Linked DNA regions of Caenorhabditis elegans. The protein of the gene in region 2 purifies or fractionates together with the protein of the main gene of each other region. This does not show direct contact. Each region holds a gene or a part of one and is shown on either strand. Other genes may lie near its edges. The genes, in order: fnta-1 and pgp-9.

The links.
Region 1: the proteins of pgp-9 (region 2) and fnta-1 fractionate together in Caenorhabditis elegans (co-fractionation; one large-scale study listed by BioGRID). This does not show direct contact.

Annotation. Positions count from the first base shown.
Region 1 is NC_003282.8:232,878-242,297, forward strand, and holds fnta-1 (Protein farnesyltransferase/geranylgeranyltransferase type-1 subunit alpha), read right to left. Parts: upstream 7,431-9,420; 5' UTR 7,422-7,430; coding exon 7,298-7,421; intron 7,247-7,297; coding exon 6,742-7,246; intron 5,587-6,741; coding exon 5,343-5,586; intron 5,199-5,342; coding exon 5,085-5,198; 3' UTR 4,714-5,084; downstream 1-4,713. Other genes in the region: ints-13 (Protein asunder), read right to left, coding at 397-626, 1,096-1,699, 2,150-2,369, 2,521-2,613, 2,889-3,201, 3,708-3,912, 4,138-4,573; cogc-8 (Conserved oligomeric Golgi complex subunit 8), read left to right, coding at 7,712-7,775, 7,822-7,946, 7,997-8,167, 8,219-8,329, 8,379-8,582, 8,636-8,746, 8,830-8,948, 9,077-9,420.
Region 2 is NC_003283.11:17,752,050-17,761,294, reverse strand, and holds the start of pgp-9 (P-GlycoProtein related), read right to left. Parts: upstream 5,404-9,245; 5' UTR 5,399-5,403; coding exon 5,355-5,398; intron 5,306-5,354; coding exon 5,149-5,305; intron 5,084-5,148; coding exon 4,916-5,083; intron 4,586-4,915; exon of another isoform or gene 4,493-4,585; intron 4,118-4,492; coding exon 3,984-4,117; intron 3,277-3,983; coding exon 2,255-3,276; intron 1,230-2,254; coding exon 808-1,229; intron 759-807; coding exon 229-758; intron 1-228.

The DNA.
Region 1 (9,420 bases), on a different chromosome or scaffold from region 2:
ATTCAGCTTGTTTTTTCAATTATATTGTATTCTGCATTTACCGAAAAAAAAATTATTGAACATTAGAGCTGTATATATAAGTTGTTTTTTTTTTAGTTCGAATGTTTGTAATTCAGCTGAAAAAAGTGGTAAACTCAGAAAATCGCTCAAATTTCACTTTTTTAGTGATCAGAAAATCATAAATTAAGAATTTTTAATTAAAAAATAATCAGGAAATTGCAGAAAATCCAAAGGAAGCACATTCTGCAATTTCCAGATGACTTTACGTAAATGTTCAGAATTTTAAAGTTTTTGTTCATTTTTTTCAGACTTTACAGCCTAATTTTCTCATTTGTCAGTAGATTTTTGCGGAATTTTAGCGATATTTCCAGTAGAACTCCCACAACTTTTTCCAACCTTTTGCCATAACAATCGGCTTCTCCTCGACTTCAGGCTTCTTCTTTTTGAATCCCTGACCATATAATTCTTCATATTTTCGTTCATCTCGTGCATCCACATAACCAAATAGTTTCTTCAATGCCGGACTTTTAAGGATTTCCTCGTCTTCATCATCACTGGAATCTTCATCTTCATCGGTTTTTGAAGCGGTGTCCGATTTTCCAAAAAATGAGAATTTCACGAACATTCTGGAAGAATTGGAAATTTTTTTTGACAACTAATTTAAAGATGTGTTTTTAATTTAAAAAAAAACGAAAACATAAAATATATCGTGATTATTCAATTTCTAAAAAATAAATACTATTTTATTTCAAATTTAAAAATTTTCAGAATTTCGAAAAACAAAAAAAATTCTAAGATTCAATTTTTCATTTTCCAGAAAATTGAAATATTTTGAATCTAAAAATGAGAAAAAGTACAAGAACACTCATTTACTCATTTTTTGATTTTTTTTTTGAGTTTTGAAAATTAGAAAATGTTTCGATTTTTCTCGATTTACTAAAAAAAATATTTTAATTTTTTTTTCTGAAATTCACAAAAAATTGCGCTACGTCATAATTTTGTTTAAAACAAGACTTTTTTAGAAAAAAAAAAGGAAAATTCGTTATTTTATTTTTTATCAACTTTTAAAGGATTCCTTTTTGAAAATCTGCTCACTTATCAACAGCTTCATCATCATCCAAATCAACTTCCAACAGTTTATCAACATTCAATGTAGTCATATAGGTCTTATAAATCTCCTTATGTTTTTCAGAGAAAGTAACATATTTCATGATATGTTTAGCCAACTCCACAAATGTCACTCTCAATTGTTCATCTGGATCCTTCAAATTCCGAACTGAGCTGATTTTGATGTCAGATTCCGGTGAAATCACGTATTGTCGTTCATTTTTCATTTGATAAAGTGTTACAATGCATTGTTTACACTTATCCACGTCATTTTCTGATAATGTAGTTTTTGTGATTAAACTGATTAATGGCTCGAGTTTTGGTGTAACTTTCTCATTGAAAATAAATGTATCCGCTGCGAAACATGGAATATTTTTGGAAATTCGTTGAAATCTTTTCTTCAAATCTGAATTCTTCAATCCTGTCCATTTCTCCGTCTCTTTTTCTGTCAAATTATCGTCCATGCGGTTTTTGGCGACAAAACGGAGCTCGAGCTGCTTATAAGTGTGCCGAAGTTGGTTCATATTAATCGGATCCTCCGGAGCATGAAGCACACGTGGACGCTTCAGTTTTCCAGCGATTCGGTCGGCTTCTGCAAATGTTTGGGTTTTGAATTTTTTTTTCTCAAATTTAAACAAAATAGTGACCGAGTTTTCTGTCTTCTGCGAAAATATAAAAATTATTTCAGAAAAATTTTTGGTTGAGGCTAAGAATTTTTTGTTGAGGCTGAGGATTTTTGGTTGAGGCTCGGGATTTTGAGTGAGGCTAGGGATTTTTGGTTGAGGCTCAGGATTTTTGGTTGAGGCTAAGTATTTTTGGTTGAGGCTAAGTATTTTTGGTTGAGGCTAAGTATTTTTGGTTGAGGCTAAGGATTTTTGGTTGAGGCTAAGGATTTTTGGTGAGGCTTTCAAGATTTTTGGTTGAGGTTCTCTGGATTTTTTGGTTGAGGCTCAGTATTTTTGGGTGAGGCTATCAGGATAAAGAGGCTCAGGATTTTTCGGTGAGATTTTTCGACGGCAAAATAATTGTATAAATTACAAACTTTTCTGCATGAAATCAATTTCCTGAATAAAAATTCTTCCACGATTCGCAATAAGCAAATGTGAGACAAGTTTTTCATGCATATTCATTCCGAGTTCTGTAGTTTTCTCCGAATCAAGCATCACACATCGACCATCACGAACGAATTGGGTAAGGCAGGCTGACGGGCGGGAATATGCTTGAGCCGTAGTACACGGGACAGCTGCTCCGTGGTATGGGAACTGTAAAAAATTGAGATTTTCAAAGATTATAATTGGTTTTTTTTTGTTGAAAGTGGCAGAGTTATGGAATATTCTCGTTCTTCTAGGCAAAAAAAACCGAAAATCTTCTATTTTCAAGTTCTTCTCGGAACTTTTTCTTTTTTTTCCTTACCAATGACCATTTTGTCTTGGGAGCTGTGGTCCAGGTGAGCCGCATTGTATCGTAAGTTACACCCTTGTCCGAGTCGCCTTTTTTGCTCACCGTCTGAAAATTATAAAAAAATTTATTCTCAGGCTTGAAAATGGAAGAATATGCATCCGCCACATTGTTTTTTATTTAAAAAATTTTAAAAATCCGGAGAAGAACACTTTGATAAGCTTTCCGCATTTCCCAAAGTAATTTTTTCCGAAAAACGGAGTTAAAACAATTACTTTGAAAGGATGCAATAATTACCGTACTAGCGGGTACGGTATCTACAATACAAAATTTGTTTTCTGAAAAAGTTATTAAGAAGTCCTAAACCCTCTTCATTTTCTCACATCGATAAGGTTATTCTCCTTGAGCATCGCATGAACTTTTCCCGAATGAAACAGCTCAACATCATAATTCGAAGATCCTCGATTGTCTTCTTTCATTGGGATCTTGGTTACTGTAGTTGATCCTAGATCGAATGCATCAACAAGCAATGAATGAATCGCGTCACACATATCCGCGGCTTTTCGTGAGATTACCCAAATTTTGAGCAGTGGAAGATCCGGATGAGCTTGAAGGGAATGAGTTTTTACTGTACATTCGTCTCCAGTGGCATAGTAATTCACGATGAATAAGCGAAGAGAAGTAATTGGGCAGAATCTGGAAAGATAAATTAAATTTTATTGAAGTTTATGGTAAGAATCTATTCAAATTGCTTGGTAAAATTGATCCCTCGGGATTTTTGGCTGAGGCTCTCTAGATTTTTGGCTGAGGCTCTCTAGATTTTTGGTTGAGGCTCTCAGGATTTTTGGTTGAGGCTCTCTTGATTTTTGATTGAGGCTCACTGGATTTTTGATTGAGGCTCTCTGGATTTTTGGGTGAGGCTCAGAATTTTCGGTTGAGGCTCTCTTGATTTTTGGTTGAGGCTCTCTGGATTTTTGATTGAGGCTCTCTGGATTTTTGGGTGAGGCTCTCAGGATTTTTGGTTGAGGCTCTCTGGATTTTTGGTTGAGGCTCTCTGGATTTTTGGTTGAGGCTCTCTGGATTTTTCTGCGAGACTGAATAGTATGAGTGAGGCCCCGGATTTTTGTTTACAAAATGTCTTAAAACTGGGTTCTTTTTTGTGATTTTTGGCGAAAAAACCGATTTTATAATCAAAATATTACGTTTTATTTGAAGGAGCGTCGGCGATTTTGTTGCGTGACACAACTAACTCGACAATCTCCGTCTGTAATTGTTCCATTTCCTCTTGAGTATTCAACCGGGTGTACATAATCAAATTTCCGGCGTTTTGAACAGTTGGAAGTGGTGGAAGACCTCTGAGTTCTCGTGTCACGCGTATTACTTCCGAGTTTTGAGCTGTACGTTTGTCTGGAAATTTTCAGAATAAGGTAGATTTCTAACGGAAAATGCGGGTTTTCAGTGATTTTTCAAGATTTTTTTAAATCATTTTTCGATAGTTTTTCTACGTAAAAAAGGCTTGAAAACCATAGATTTCGTGTAAAACTAGTGTAAAACCTTTTTTTTAAAGATTTCCAGATGATCATAATTACGATTTTGGATAAAATAATTAATGTTTCAAAAGGAAATACTCACTTGCACTATATCGTACATCATAATTATAATTTCTCTGTTCAGGCGACTGCACAGCCAACGCTTCAATGGCCATAGTCAATCCACCAATTGGTGTAATATCAGTATTAGCCTCACTCGGGCGGCTCACAGTCTCAATGAGTTCTCCGAGCTCTTCTCGAGTCAAAAATCCGTCCGTCCACTGCGTATCCAACATCTTTCCCATGAAGTCCGCCAGGGCAAATCGAAGCTGTAGAGTGCCACGTGGATAGACGTCACTCAGAATTCTGTGCATTTCGAAGATTCCCTCAAGGCACCACGTCCAAATGGTTTTTTCGAATTGAAGTTTCTTCTGTTTTGGGCCTTCTCGAATTGTGACATCGAACGTTTCGTTACAGTTTTCCACGAATTTCGCGCTCCGATCCAGCAGAAAAACGGTTTTCATATCCCGTTGTTCCATCTTAATAATTTTATTTTTAAGAAATTTAGAATCGATTTTTTTTGAAGAATAAACAACGCTTTTCCCGAGAAAAATTAAATTCTGTCAGGGGTTCTTGTATCATCGAAATTTAAATTTGGAAAAGAAGAATAAATTTTTAATATTTCTCTCAGAAACAAAGAAAACTGGTAGCCGAAATGATGAATAAACAGTTGATTTCGAAATATTTCAATTATTTGCAATAATTCAAGAAAAAAAATTCAAAATCTACAGTACTCCAAACTTAAAGGCGCATGAAAGATATCGGAGTGCCGCTGTGCCTCGGAAATTTCCATTTTCTCTTGCCTTTCAACTAAAAAACGTGACAAAAGGTATAAAAATTAAGAATAAACTATAAAAAAAGCATCATTGAATAATAATTTAAAAAAAAATTTTTTAAATAAATAAGTAGGACGGCAAATTGTGGGAAATCATTGGGATATACTTACACAAAAACATATAAATACAAAAAAAACGTGGAATTCAGAAAGAATTACTTGGCAGTGACCTTCGTCTGTGCCTTGATGAGCATCGTTTGAGCAAGAAGACTCTGATGGCGGTAGTAGTTGACTCGAACCGGGTCGATCGATTGAAGATCCTTGTAGAGCTGGAAATTTCGGGAATTTGAGGCGTTTAGAGCGCAAATTCATTTAAAGCGAAAATGTGCACTTTTAATTAAAAAAAAGGAAATTTTTAGTTAAAAATTCTCCAATGTTATCCCATTTCTCATGAACTTTCTAGACTTACAAACCTTTTTAGCGCGCCCAGCGCTTTCTTCCGCAGACTTTTGGTTTTCAATATTTTCGAGCATCATATCGGCGATAAATGCAAGAAGGAATGGTGACCGTTTCTCTTCAGGAGTTGTCTCATACAAATCCTCCACAAAACTGACAACATCACTGTTCGAGGTTACTCCATTTGTGATGAGAAGCCCTGCGAGGTAGTTCCAGGCACTTTCGTTGTTCGGAATATTCTCAATGAACTTCTTGGCGAGGCTAGAAAAATTGAGAGGTTTTGTGTTCAAGTTTAATGGAAGATGTGCAACAACTATTTAGCCTCAAACAAACTCTTAGCCTCAACCAAACTCTTACAAGGAAAGGAAGTCAATCTATCTATGCTCCAGTGCATTTTTTCGCTGACTTCTATATCAAGTAAATGGCCTCAAAAGGGGTTCTGAGAGATTAGAAATTGTTTTTGGGGGTTTTTAGGGTCTAACAAACAATGTGGGAGCTTTTTGGAAATTTTTATTTTTTTGAAAAAAATCTGAAATTTTTTCGATCCATTGGACACCAAATTTTTGGTCAAAAATTTTTTTTTTTGAAAAAATTCCAAAACTATTTTTTTGTATCCGGGCATGCAAAAAGCTACATATTTCTTCGAATTGAGCCTTTTTACAATTTTTTACAATTTTTTACAAAGGGCCCGATTGCAGTTTTTAAAAGTTGAAGAAAAAAATTATTTCCACTGAAAGAATCGAACACGAGACCTTTATTTTATTATTCCAAGCGTTTACCATTCGGCCATCAACCGTTGTTTTTTATTGTTTTCCATGTTTGTAACCATTTCATAATGATTGAAAATCATTTTTTGTATAAGTAAAATGAATAAGTACGAAATAGTATTGAAAACTAGGAGGGCGCAGAGAAAAATTTTCAGATGGCGATTTCAGGGGTTCAGAGTTGAGTTCCGCCGCTGAAATTTTTGTGGTGATCTAGTCTAAACATAAGCTTTCAAATGACATACGTCTCAATTTAAAGTCCGATACTAGATTGACTTCCTTTCCTTGTTAGCCTCAACCAAACTCTTCAGCCTCAACCAAATTCTTAGCCTCAACCAAACGCTTAGCCTCAACCAAATTCTTAGCCTCAACCAAACTCTTAGCCTCAACCAAACTCTTAGCCTCACCCAAACTCTTCAGCCTCAACCAAAAATTTTTACTTTCAAAGTTATCTTCATGTTTGATTAATCAAATATTTGGACAGTTTTCAATTTTTAGGTAGTTTTCATCACTAAAAATCAGAAATTGAGAAGAATATTCTGGAATTTTCGGAGATTTTTAGTTTCTGAATCGCTTTCTACATCAGATAGATGTTTCTCCACTAAAAACGCTAATCGTGAACAAAAAATTGATCGCTGTTATATTTCCTTACTTGATCTCAATGTCAAGCTGGCTCGCATCCTCCGTCTTATCGTAGAGAGTCATCAGAAAATAGCGATAATTATACGCCGAATTGTTGCGATTATCGAGAAGAAGCATGTGAAGAGCAAATGTGAGCTCTTTCTCCAGTGGAACCTTGAAAGTCCGTACAACCCATTGACGGTGCTGCCACGCGTGATAGTTTTTGTTCTCGTCGCGGATGACTTCCGAGCAAAAATGAAGCTCATCGTTCACCGCACTTTCTCCAATCGTTTCGACGATGAAGCGACGGTGATGCCAGACTTGATAGTTTTTCGGTGATTCTTGAATAATATCGCTGAGATACCGCATCTCCTTCTTCAAATCCCATCCCAACTCGGTGAGACACACGCGGCGATACTGCCAAACTGTGTAATTCGCTGGATTAAGTCTAATGCAATCCTCGAGAAGTGCCATCACTCGATCCGACTTCTCGTTTTTTATTAGAATTGCACGGAAGTAGGCGAAAGCATCGGTGACTGCAAAATTAAAATTTGAATAATTATTAATTTGATCTCAAAATTTCTTACAGTCTTCCGTAACAGCGATCTTAACAGCAACTTCTTCCTCCTTACTCGGGTAGATCGGCGTAATATCCTTCCAATCTACGTTATCTTTGTAGAGAGTTGAAGATGGAATATCGCTGTCCGACATTTTCTCCGCCTGCAAGCTTATTTTTCGTTAATATTGGATTTTGAAGGGGAAAACATTAAATTTTGAATTTTTTCTAAATATTTTTCAATAAAAATTGAGCTGGAAACTGGAAAAAACGTCTTAAATGCTCGAACAACTCGGAAAAGAAAAAAAATGGATTTAAAGTTAAACGGTGCAAAGTGTCGTAATTTCCTGCGCACTCTCCGCAAACACTCCGGCTCTCATGTGGATTTACGGGCAGCCAACGCGATTTCTTTCTTATCGCCGATTTGCCTTTACTGTAGGAAATCATGGATTCTGATTATATATTTCATAATGGAGATGATATTCGCAATATGGGACTTGAAGAAATGCGTAAGTAATCTGCAATAATGTGAAAATTCATCGAAAAATCGTTCAGGACGTCAAAAGGTGCTGCTGGCCAGCGAGCTGAAGGCGATTGACGCCCAGATTAGTGATTTAGCATTCAATAATTATGGAACATATGCAGACGCTGGAAGAGCCACTCACGATTGCTCGAAAACTGTAATTTCACGAAAAAATCTATTTAAAGTCTAAACCCTAAATAATTTCAGTTCGGAGAAATGCGCGATAAAACTGTAAATCTGTCGGATCAAGCAGAGGAGTTGACTTCTGCGTTTGTAGAGTTTAGAGCAAAAGCTAAACAGCTTTCTGAAGAGCAGGATCTTGTCAGAAAAGCACTGGACAAGTCAAATCCGATCTGGGAGCTTTTGACGCTACCCTCGGTAATTCTACATCTACTTTTCTTTTTTCTTTGTAATTTTAAAACATTTTAGCGCATGGACATTTGCATTCGTGCAGGATACTATGATCTGGCTTACACATTGACCAATTATGGCTTGCAACTTCAACAACAGACTCAACTCTACCGGAATCCGCTGATAAAAGTCTGAAATCCCCAGGAAAACCTGTTAAAAACGTAAAAAATAATTCTAGAAAGTCGCGGACCACCTAGTCGAAGCTCGTGCTTATCTTTTGGAGGAACTTTTCAACAAATTCGCTGGGCCACTGGATCTTGCAGAATCCATCAAAGTTGTGAATAACGTTCGAAAGATGCCCTCATTGACAGCGAATCAGCTGAGAATCGCCGTTCTTCAGCACCGGGATATTTATCTGGAAAAACAGATTTTAGATATTTCAGTGAGAAATGCCAATCACAACATATTTAATACAATTTATTTCGTTTTTTTCAGGGAAATGTTGACATGATTGTGCAGGCGATCGAGATCTACCGTACCAGTATGTACGACACTCTCGTGCTTTATCTTGCAGTGTTTCCGGAAAACGAAGTTGTTCGAAAAAATGTAAGGGAATCAAATCGAAAAAATTTTGAGCAAAAAACAATAGCCAAGAATAATAAAACAATTTTATTTCACTTTTTTTTCAGCCGAATGCTGATCCGAGATGGGAATCATGGCCAGTTCTGCCACCAAACTCGATTCTGTCACAATGGGTTATTTCGAATGTCAAGAAAATGTTGGATCTTATCACAAAGGCGGATGTTAAGTGAGGATTTTCTCCAATTTCTGAGATTCTCCATAAATCTTGGCTGGAAAATCCACTAAAACTTTAGAAATTCCGGAGAAAATCACCAATTAAAAATTAAAAATTAAAAAAAATGTGCTTAATTTCAGATCAGCCGTCGATCTGTCAGCAGTGTGGACAAAACTAATGGCAATGGCATCATCTTTCGGAAGAATGGGCATCGATTTCCGACCACTGATCGCCGGAAAACTAACAAAACTAATTGAGCAAAGATTCCGTCAAAATGTACAAGAAGCGACGAGTAGACTGACAGGATCTTCCCGGGACATTGTCATGATCGGAATAGATCCAGCATCACTTCCTCAATTCGAAACTGCTCCAGATTCTCCACCAGTGGCTGCTGCCGAACTGAGTCTCTGGGATGATATGACAATTTACACGAATTCAGTGGTAGATGCTCTCAATGGACTTCGATTCATTCTAACACCAGTTG
Region 2 (9,245 bases):
GTCTCCCCTCCTGCTACACTCTCTTGCCGCTCAATTTTTAAACCGTCGTAATTCGGCGGCGGTTTAGAGTAATTCGGCGGCGGTTAATTCGGCGGCGGTTAGAGAAAAGTAAAATCGAAAAATCGAAAAAACGAAACACGAAATGAAAATTTTCGTTTTTCGATTTTCTGAGAAAATCGAAAAACCGACACCCTTATTTAGAGCTATTAGGAAGATTCTAAATCTTACCGATAATCAATAGCAGATTTGATATTTGGAGCATCTGTCGCTAATCTAGTCGTAATTCTTCCAGGCGAGTGCTTAGGCATATCAAAGTACGTGGCATCCTGCCTCAAAACATTTCTGTACACCTTCGACCGAATCCTCATTGTCAATCTTTCGGCAGCAACTCCGAACAGGGAACACTGGAACAACATGGAAGTTCCTTGAACCGCTGCAAGTACCAAGAACATCAACGCCCAGAAATGCCCGTCTTTCTTCATTTGATCACGGTCTGGATTCGAGAAAACGTTGATGATCTGACTGAAGAAAAGCGAGAAAGCTGGCATCACGGCTCCCTGGATGAGGGCTGCAATGATGGCGAAGAAGATGTAGATCCATTCTGGACGGGCGTATCTTAAGATCTTGAATAAGTTCGCTTTGACAGCTCCTTCCTCTTCGAGTTCCTTCTTCAGACGTTTGATCTCTTTTTCAGCGGCCTCAGGGGCTGGTGGGGCTCCGGGCTTCTCGTCTACCTGGGACTCTTGGGTTTTGAAGTTCTGGAAAAATAAGTTAGTTAGAGGAAATTTCAACTAGGTTGGCTCTTACCACTGATCCTTTCCTCTGCGATGTCTGCCTAGACATCCGTCTTTCTGCTTCTTTCTTCTTCGGCTTGTCATCCACATCAGCAAACACCTGAGCATGCACCAACTCATGGTATAGGCCCTTCTGCTCTATCAAAGTCTCGTGAGTTCCCACTTCCATCACTTGTCCGGCCTTCATCACGATGATCTTATCAGCGTTACGAACTGTCGACAGACGATGAGCAATCACAATTGTGGTACGCCCACGCGATGCGTTCTCCAGAGCCGATTGCACAATACTCTCGGATTCGGCGTCCAGAGCACTTGTGGCTTCGTCGAGGAGCAGAATCTTGGGGTTTCTGACAAGGGCACGGGCAATGGCAATACGTTGCTTTTGACCTCCGGACATTTGAACTCCACGATCTCCGACGAGAGTGTTGAGGCCTTCTGGAAATTGCAAAAATTTTGAATTTATATGATTTGATATCTAGATTAAATTTTGATAATACCGATAGTTGAAATTTTTTTGATATCTCAACCCGTTGCAGAGTTACAACGGTTTAAAGTTTGCACGGTGAAAGAGTGTGGAGGGAGAGGAGAGCGCAGACAGCCCTACCACCTGCGTCTCTCCCTCTCCCACGGTGTTTCGCTGTCTCAATTTCAAACGCGTGTTTCGCTGTCTCAATTTCAAACGTGTATATCTCCACGGAGAATAGAGATATCGAAAAATTTTGAACTGGAAAAAGGACCAGCATTCAATTTTGCTTCGAATTTTCATTGAAAATTTTAACTGAAATCTAAATTTCCGAATTTTCCGGTTTTTTTTTCTAAAAATCACACAAGCTATTAACTTCAGCGTATTCCTTGTAAATTTTACATTATTTCTTCGTTTTGAACTTTTTTGATAGCTCTAACCACTGCAGAGTTACAACGGCTCAAAGTTCGCGCAATGAGAGAGTGTGTGGAGGGAGGGGAGAGTGCAGACAGCCTCACCACCTGCGTCTCTCTCCCTCCCACGGTGTTTCGCTGTCTAAACTTCAAACGCACGTTTTCACGGAGAATAGAGATATCAAAAAACTTTGAACTGGAAAAATGATCAGCATGCAATTTTGCTTCGAATGAGTTTTAAAGAAAAACTCTTAAGTTCCAAATTTTCCGGTTTTTTTTTCTGAAAATCACACAAGCTATTAACTTCAACGTGTTCCTCGTGAAATTTACAATATTTTTCCATTTTGAATCTTTTTGATAGCTCTAACCACTGCAGAGTTACAACGGTTCAATGTTCGCGCAATGAGAGAGTGTGTGGAGGGAGGGGAGAGTGCAGAAAGTCACGCCACCTGCGTCTCTCCCTCTCCCACAGTGTTTCGCTCTCTCAACTTCAAACGCGTATATCTCCACGGAGAATAGAGATATCAAGAAAATTTAAACTGCAAAAATGATTAGCATTAAATTTTCTATCGATTAAATCTAACCTGGGAATGTCTTGATGAAATCCGCAGCATTTGCCTCCTTCAAAGCTCTAGCAATATCTTCATCTGAAACATCACTTCTTCCATAACGAATGTTCTGTTCAATAGATGTATTGAACAAGTTGGGCTCCTGGCTCACAACTCCAACCAGTTGTCGGAGATACTTAATATTAAAGTCCTCAATCGGAATGTCATCAATCAAAATCTGCCCGGCATCCGGGTTATAGAACCGTTGAAGCAACTGAATAATAGTCGACTTTCCACATCCGGAGCTTCCAACCAATGCGACAGTCTGTCCGGGTTGAGCATCCAACGAGACACCCTTAAGGATCTTCACATCAGCACGTGTCGGGTACGTAAATTCCACTTTATTCACAGAAATCCTTCCGGAAATCTTGCTCGGAGTCTGTCCCTCAGTAGAGTATGCATCGATTTCCGGTATTCTGTCAATGACCTCATAGAGGGAGGCGGCGGCTCCCAGAGCTGTACCAATGGTTGCAAATTGCTGTCCAGCCTGCCCAAGTGCCATGGATCCCATCATCACCGAGAAGAAAACGGTTAGTACTGTACCAGACTCCAGGCGTCCACTATACACGAAATTGGTTCCAACCCAGAAGGCGAGGCAGTAGGAGGCGTAGATGATGACGAAGAAGGACGCAAGCCCGGCTCCGATTAGGAAACTTTTCTTGATTCCAGTCTTTTTACCGTGCTCCAGAGCATCCTCGTACCGTTTACACTCATATTCCTGACCGTTAAACGCAATAACTGTTCTGATCGAGGTCAGAACTTCCTCAGCGATTCCTCCGGCAACGGCGTACTGCTTAGCCTCTTTGGTAGCTGCGGTGGCGAGAAGTTTGGCAAGGAACAAGCCGCAAATCATCATAAATGGAGAAAGTGACATCATAATTAGGGTTAGAAGCCAGTCGTAGGTAAAAGCCACGGCAAATCCACCGATGAACTGAGCCATCATCTGGAAGGCCAGACCGACTTTGTCTCCGGTACCTTCGCGGACACGTTCAAGATTGCTGAAAAAATTAATGGTTTTAAGGGGTATTTATATGAAATGAGGAGGGGGCAAATCCGGCAAATCGGCATATTTTCAATTCCGGCAATTTGCCTGTTTGCCGATTTGCCGGAAATTTGTAACAGGACATTTGCCGATTTGTCGATGTGTTGGAAATTTTCAATTTGGGCAATTTGCCGGTTTGCCCAATTGCCAGAAATTTTCATTTTTGGTAAATTGCCAGTCTGCACATTTACCGGAAGTTTTCAGTTCCGGCAATTTGCCCATTTGCCCATTTGAAGGAATTTTTCAATTCCTGCAAATTGCAGGTTTGCCTGTTCGCCGGAAACTTTCAATTTATGCAATTTGAAGGTTTACCGATTTGCCGGTTTGCACACTTGCCGGAAATTTTCAATTTAAGTAATTTGCCGATTTGCCGGTTTTCCGATTTGTCAGAAATTTTCAATTCCGACAAATTGCCGGTTTGCCGAATTTACCGGAAATTTTCAATTTATGCAATTTGTAGGTTTACCGATTTGCCGGTTTGCCCATTAGACGGAAATTTTCAATTCAGGCAATTTGCAGATTTGCCGATTTGCGGAAAAAAATTTTTAGAAAAATAAAGTTCAACATTTTTAAGCAACAATTTTTGTTTCGGTCATATTATTTTTCAAAATTCAAATCAATTCCAAATTTAAAAAAAAAAAGCTTTAAAATTTCTAAACTCACTCAAAAAGCTTATTCGACAAAGTTCCAGACGTATTCTTGTCGTACCAGGCAATCTCCTGACGCATCACAGAATGGAAGAACTGCCGCCGGAATCTATTTGACAGTTTCTCACAGATTACCATGAAGCATGAAGCCTTAAAAATTGAAGAGATTTGAAGAAAAACTAATTTTCTGAGAATTTTTAAAAATGTGTCCAAATGGCGCAGTGAGATTTTCCACAAATTCCATTCCAATCAGAAGACCGGGGTTCGAGTCCGCATAGTGGGCAAAACTTTTTTTTTGTTTTTAAAAATGTTTTAGAGTAATTCTAATGTGCTGATGTCGATTTTCAATGAAAAAATTCAAAAAAAAAATGAATAAATTTAGAAAATTTCAAAAATAAAACGGCTTTTGGGAAGGAGTTCAATTTTGTATATCCAAATTGCCGAAAATTTTTAAAAATTTACTCAAATTAATTGTAAAATCAATTTTTTTTTGATTTTTCTAAACAATTTTGAAAACTGTGTCCAAATGGCTCAGTGGGATTTTCCACGATTTCCGTTCCAATCAGAAGACCGGGGTTCGAGTCCGCATGGTGGCCAAAACTTTTTTTTTGGTTTTTAAGGATGTTTTTAGAGTAATTCAAAGCTGCTAAATTCAAATCTCATGTCGAAAACTTGTATTTTTACAAAATTTGCGAAATTTTGGCCTGAAATTGTGCTCAAAAGTTTTTTCTTTAAATTTTTAGAAAATTCAATTTTTTTGCGGATAAAAGCTAGAAAAAGTGAAATTCATTTAAATTTGTGTATATGTTCGGAATTTTATAACTTTAGGCGATTTGAAAAAAAAATTGACTAAACATTTTTCGAAAATTTTTTTTCGAAATTTCTTAATTTATTTTTTCCGAAATTTTTTTGTTCAATTTCGATTTTTCGCAAAACTAAACCCAATACCTGTAGAAAACCAGCAGCAAAAATTCCACATCCAAGGTAAACGTATTTCAAACAATTTTGAATAACTTCATGAGAAAACTCGGCTCTTGCCGCAGCTTTTTCTGACGCAGTTGAGTTAGGATCCAGGAAAATGGTACCAAGGGTGACGAAGTTTTGTGACACGTTACCCTGCAATGATTTAGATTATTTTTAGGTTATTTTAAGACAAAACTATTTAAAAAAAATTATTTTACCATAATAATAGACATCAAAGGGAGTCCTACACCGGTGGCACATGATACAATGATTCCTACTGCCAACATTAACCGATCTACTGTGCTTGTGTACCGGTATAGTTGAAAAATTGAGATTTTTGGCGGCGGTGGAGCTTCTTCTTTTTTCTCTGATGATCTGCAAAAATTTTCAGCGTTTTTAGGTGCGGTTCCTCAGAAATACCTACCCTTCCGATGATGAATCATCCTTCTTCTTTTTGAATAGACCCATTACCTGAAAAAAATACATAAAATTCAAAAAAGTACGCAGAAAATCGAAAAAGTCACAAAAAACGGTTCAAATCGTAGTTTTCCAGAAAAATGTACGAATGGCTCAGTGGGATTTTCCACGAAGTCCCTTCCAATCAGAAGACCGGGGTTCGAGCCCGCACAGTGGTCGAAATTTTTTATTTGCTTTTTCGAATAGTTTTTAAAGTAATTCTGACATGCTGAACTCGATTTTCAAAATAAAAATTCGAAAAAAATATAATAAAATTTGAAATTTTCTGGAATGCAACGGTTTTTGGGAAGAAATTCAATATTGTATATCCAAATTGCTGAAAATTTCGATAATTCACTCAAGTTAGCTGTAAAATCAATATTCTGACTTTTTTCTGAGCAGTTTTTTGAAAAATGTGTCCAAATGGCGCAGTGCGATTTTCCCCGAAGTCCCTTCCAATCACAAGACCGGGGTTCGAGTCCGCACTGTGGCTTACCATTTTTCATTTTTTCTCGAAAAGTTTTAGGGTAAATAATAGATGCTGATTTCAAATTTTCCAACATTAAACCAAAAAATCTACTGAAAAACTTAGAAATTTCAAAAAGTCACTGAAAATATGATCCTTGAGCGAAAAAATGAAATGAAAGAGCCCAAAAATTCTTTCATATTGTTATCAGTCCAACTGCCGACAGTTTTATCAACCTCTTATCACTGCCCTAAGTACACACTGAAATTGGAGGAATTGAGAAATAAAACAAAGTGAATTCCGTCAGTTTTCGAAAGATCTCTCTATAGTTTGGAGAAACAAAAGTCTAGGGAAAGAAAAGTGGGCGGAGCTTAAAGTGGGTCAACAGAAAATAAGTTGGCAGTACATTTTGAACTGTTTGCTAAGTGTGTTAAAACAGAAATCAAAAAATCAGAGAACTGTTCTAGCTTTTTAAATTTATTTATTATTGAGTTTAATATATTTTAAAGGAATTTTCAGATACTGAAATTATTAAATTTGAATTGGAAATATTATAATTACTCTAAAACGTTGATTAAACTTCGATTAAAAATCAAAAAAAAATATTTCGACCAGAGTGCGGACTCGAACCCTGGTCTTCTGATTGGAAGGCATTTTGCGTAAAATCCCACTGCGCCATTTGGACCCAATTTTTCAAAAATTGCTTTTAAAGCCAAATTTTGATAAAATTAATTATACTCGCATTGTTTTCTAAAAAATCTTTTTAAAAAATCTAAGAAAACTGCAGGCCCAGTGTGCAGACGAAATTAAATAGAAGCAATTAATAAATGATAAGATATCATGAAACTTTTGTGCTTATATACACAACCTAGTGATATCATACACTTCATGATGCAAAACCAAAATGTTTATATCTATTCGGAATGAATTGCGAAATTTGATAGGTCAAACTAGACAAATATTGGATTTTTGCTCGAAAAACGGGAATTTTTAGGAAATTTTGAGGCATATAAATATAAAAATCGAATTCAGCACGCCTGAGTTACTCTGAAACATCTTTAAAAATCGAGAAAAAAAATTCGACCGCAGTGCGGACTCGAACCACGGTCTTCTGAGTGGCAGTCATGCAAATCCCCACTGAGCCACTGGTGCAAAAAAAAAAATTTTTTTGCATTTTTTTTTTGAAAAATAAAAGAAAAATAAACATCAAATGATCAAGAACTATAAAATGGGCAAAGTATCACATTACGTACTCAAAACCTTCGCTCAGTGATCACATTTCCCTCCTATAGTTTATGCTCATCAAAAATGCAGTGTGCTCGCCAGTTTTATAGCATCTTTTTTTGATAGGTTAGAATACGATTTCTCTCTCATATTTGTTTAGAGTATCAACTTTGCATAATTCGAAAAACAAGGAAAAACACCAAGGTCAAAAAAATGTATGGCAAAAATTTTGAAAATGTGACGAAAATCACAAAAAATTGGATATTTTTGGCTTGAAAGCTATTTTTAATACTTAAAATCATAAAAATACCAATTTTGGGAAGTTTAAATTTTTTTTTGAAAATTGTGTCCGAGTGGCTCAGTGTGATTTTCCACGACTTTCCTCCCAATCACAAGACCGGGGTTCGAGTCCGCACTGTGGTAAAAATTTTTTAGAGTAATTAAAAAGTCCTGATTTCAGTATTTTTGGTTTCAATTTGTGAAAATCACTCGAAAAAAAAACGAAAACGTTTTTTTTTTGCGAAATCATACAAATTCCTGTACTTCCGCAAGACAATTTAAGAAAATTTCAGAAAATTTTGATAAAAATAACAATTATACTTGTTTTTGCCTTTTCTGGACATTTTTCAAAAAATGTGTTCAAGTGGCTCAGTGGGATTTTCCACAAATTCCCTTCCAATAACGAGGCCGGGGTTCGAGTCCGCACCGTGATCGAATTTTGTTTTGAATTTTTAAAAATTTTTTAGAGTGACAAAAAGTGTTGAATTCATTTTTTATAGTTTTAATATGTGAAAATCACTCAAAGAAACTAAAAAACGCACGTTTTTCGAAAAATCAAATAAATTCCTGCAATTCCATATGAAAATTCAAGAAAATTTTCAGAAAATGTTGATTAAAAAAAAACACTTATACTTGTTTTTGTTTCTTCTGGACATTTTTTAAAAAATATGACCAAGTGGCTCAGTGGGATTTTCCACGACTTCCCTTCCAATCACCAGACCGGGGTTCGAGTCCGCACTGTGGTCGAAACATTTTTACGAATTTAAAACTTGTATTAGGGTAATAAAAATGTGTTGAATTCGAATTTTATAATCTTGATATGTAAAAATCACTAAGAAATCCAAAGTTTTCGAAAATAAATAGTTTTTTCTGAACACATATTATTTCAAGTTATTTTATACGGAAACTTCTGGGTCTTTTTATCATTTTTATCGCATTTTGATCATTTTCTTATCATTTTTGAAAAATTCGTCCGAATGGCTCAGTGGGATTTTCCACGGTTTTGCTTCCAATCAGAAGACCGGGGTTCGAGTCCGCACTGTGGTAAAAACTTTTTTATTGTTTTTTTTCCAAAAGTTTAAAGTTTTAGGGTAATTAGATACCCCTGAGTCGGAATTTTTTAGTTTTAAAACTTGAATTTTATCAATTTAGACTCGAAATTCAACTAGAAAACTCAAAATATAAGGAAATCAATAGAAGATTGAAAAAAATGTTAAAACTTAAACTGATGAAATTCGAATTACATGACATTGTTCTTCTTATCTTTCCGAAATTTTTATATTTATAGGTTCTTCACAAAAAATGTCCGACAAATTGCCAAAATTTTACAGTTTCAGAGCATAAACTCCGCATTTCCAGTTCCGTGCACCTCAATAAGTGACATAAACCACACAAACGGAATGGTGTAACTTTTTATCAATTGTTTATCAACGGAGCTCGGCGAGCATTCTTTTTGTGTGCTTTCCGTGTGGTTTGGAGTTTTTCTCGGGGCGTTTGCCAGGGGTTCTTTGTTTGCTTGTTACTCCTCTTTTTGATATTGAGAGGTGTATTTTGAGGTTTAATTTTGAAAAATTAAAAAACTTCTGAGCTGGAGATTATTGGGGATGAGTTTTAGAAAAAAAAGTTTTACGAAATTTCTGAAAATTTTTTAAAAAATTCGAAAAAAAATTTTTTTTTCAAAATTGTGAACTTGTGACAGAATTTTTTAATTTAATTTTTTTAAAATTAAATTTCTATAATTTACTTTAATTTTTGAAATTTTATAGATTTAAAAAATAAATTAAGGTGTTTCCAGATTTTTTCAATAATAATTTCAGAAATTTTCAGATATTTGTTATATTTTTCCAATAGTTTGCCGAAATTTAAAATTTTCCAAATTCTTTCAAATTC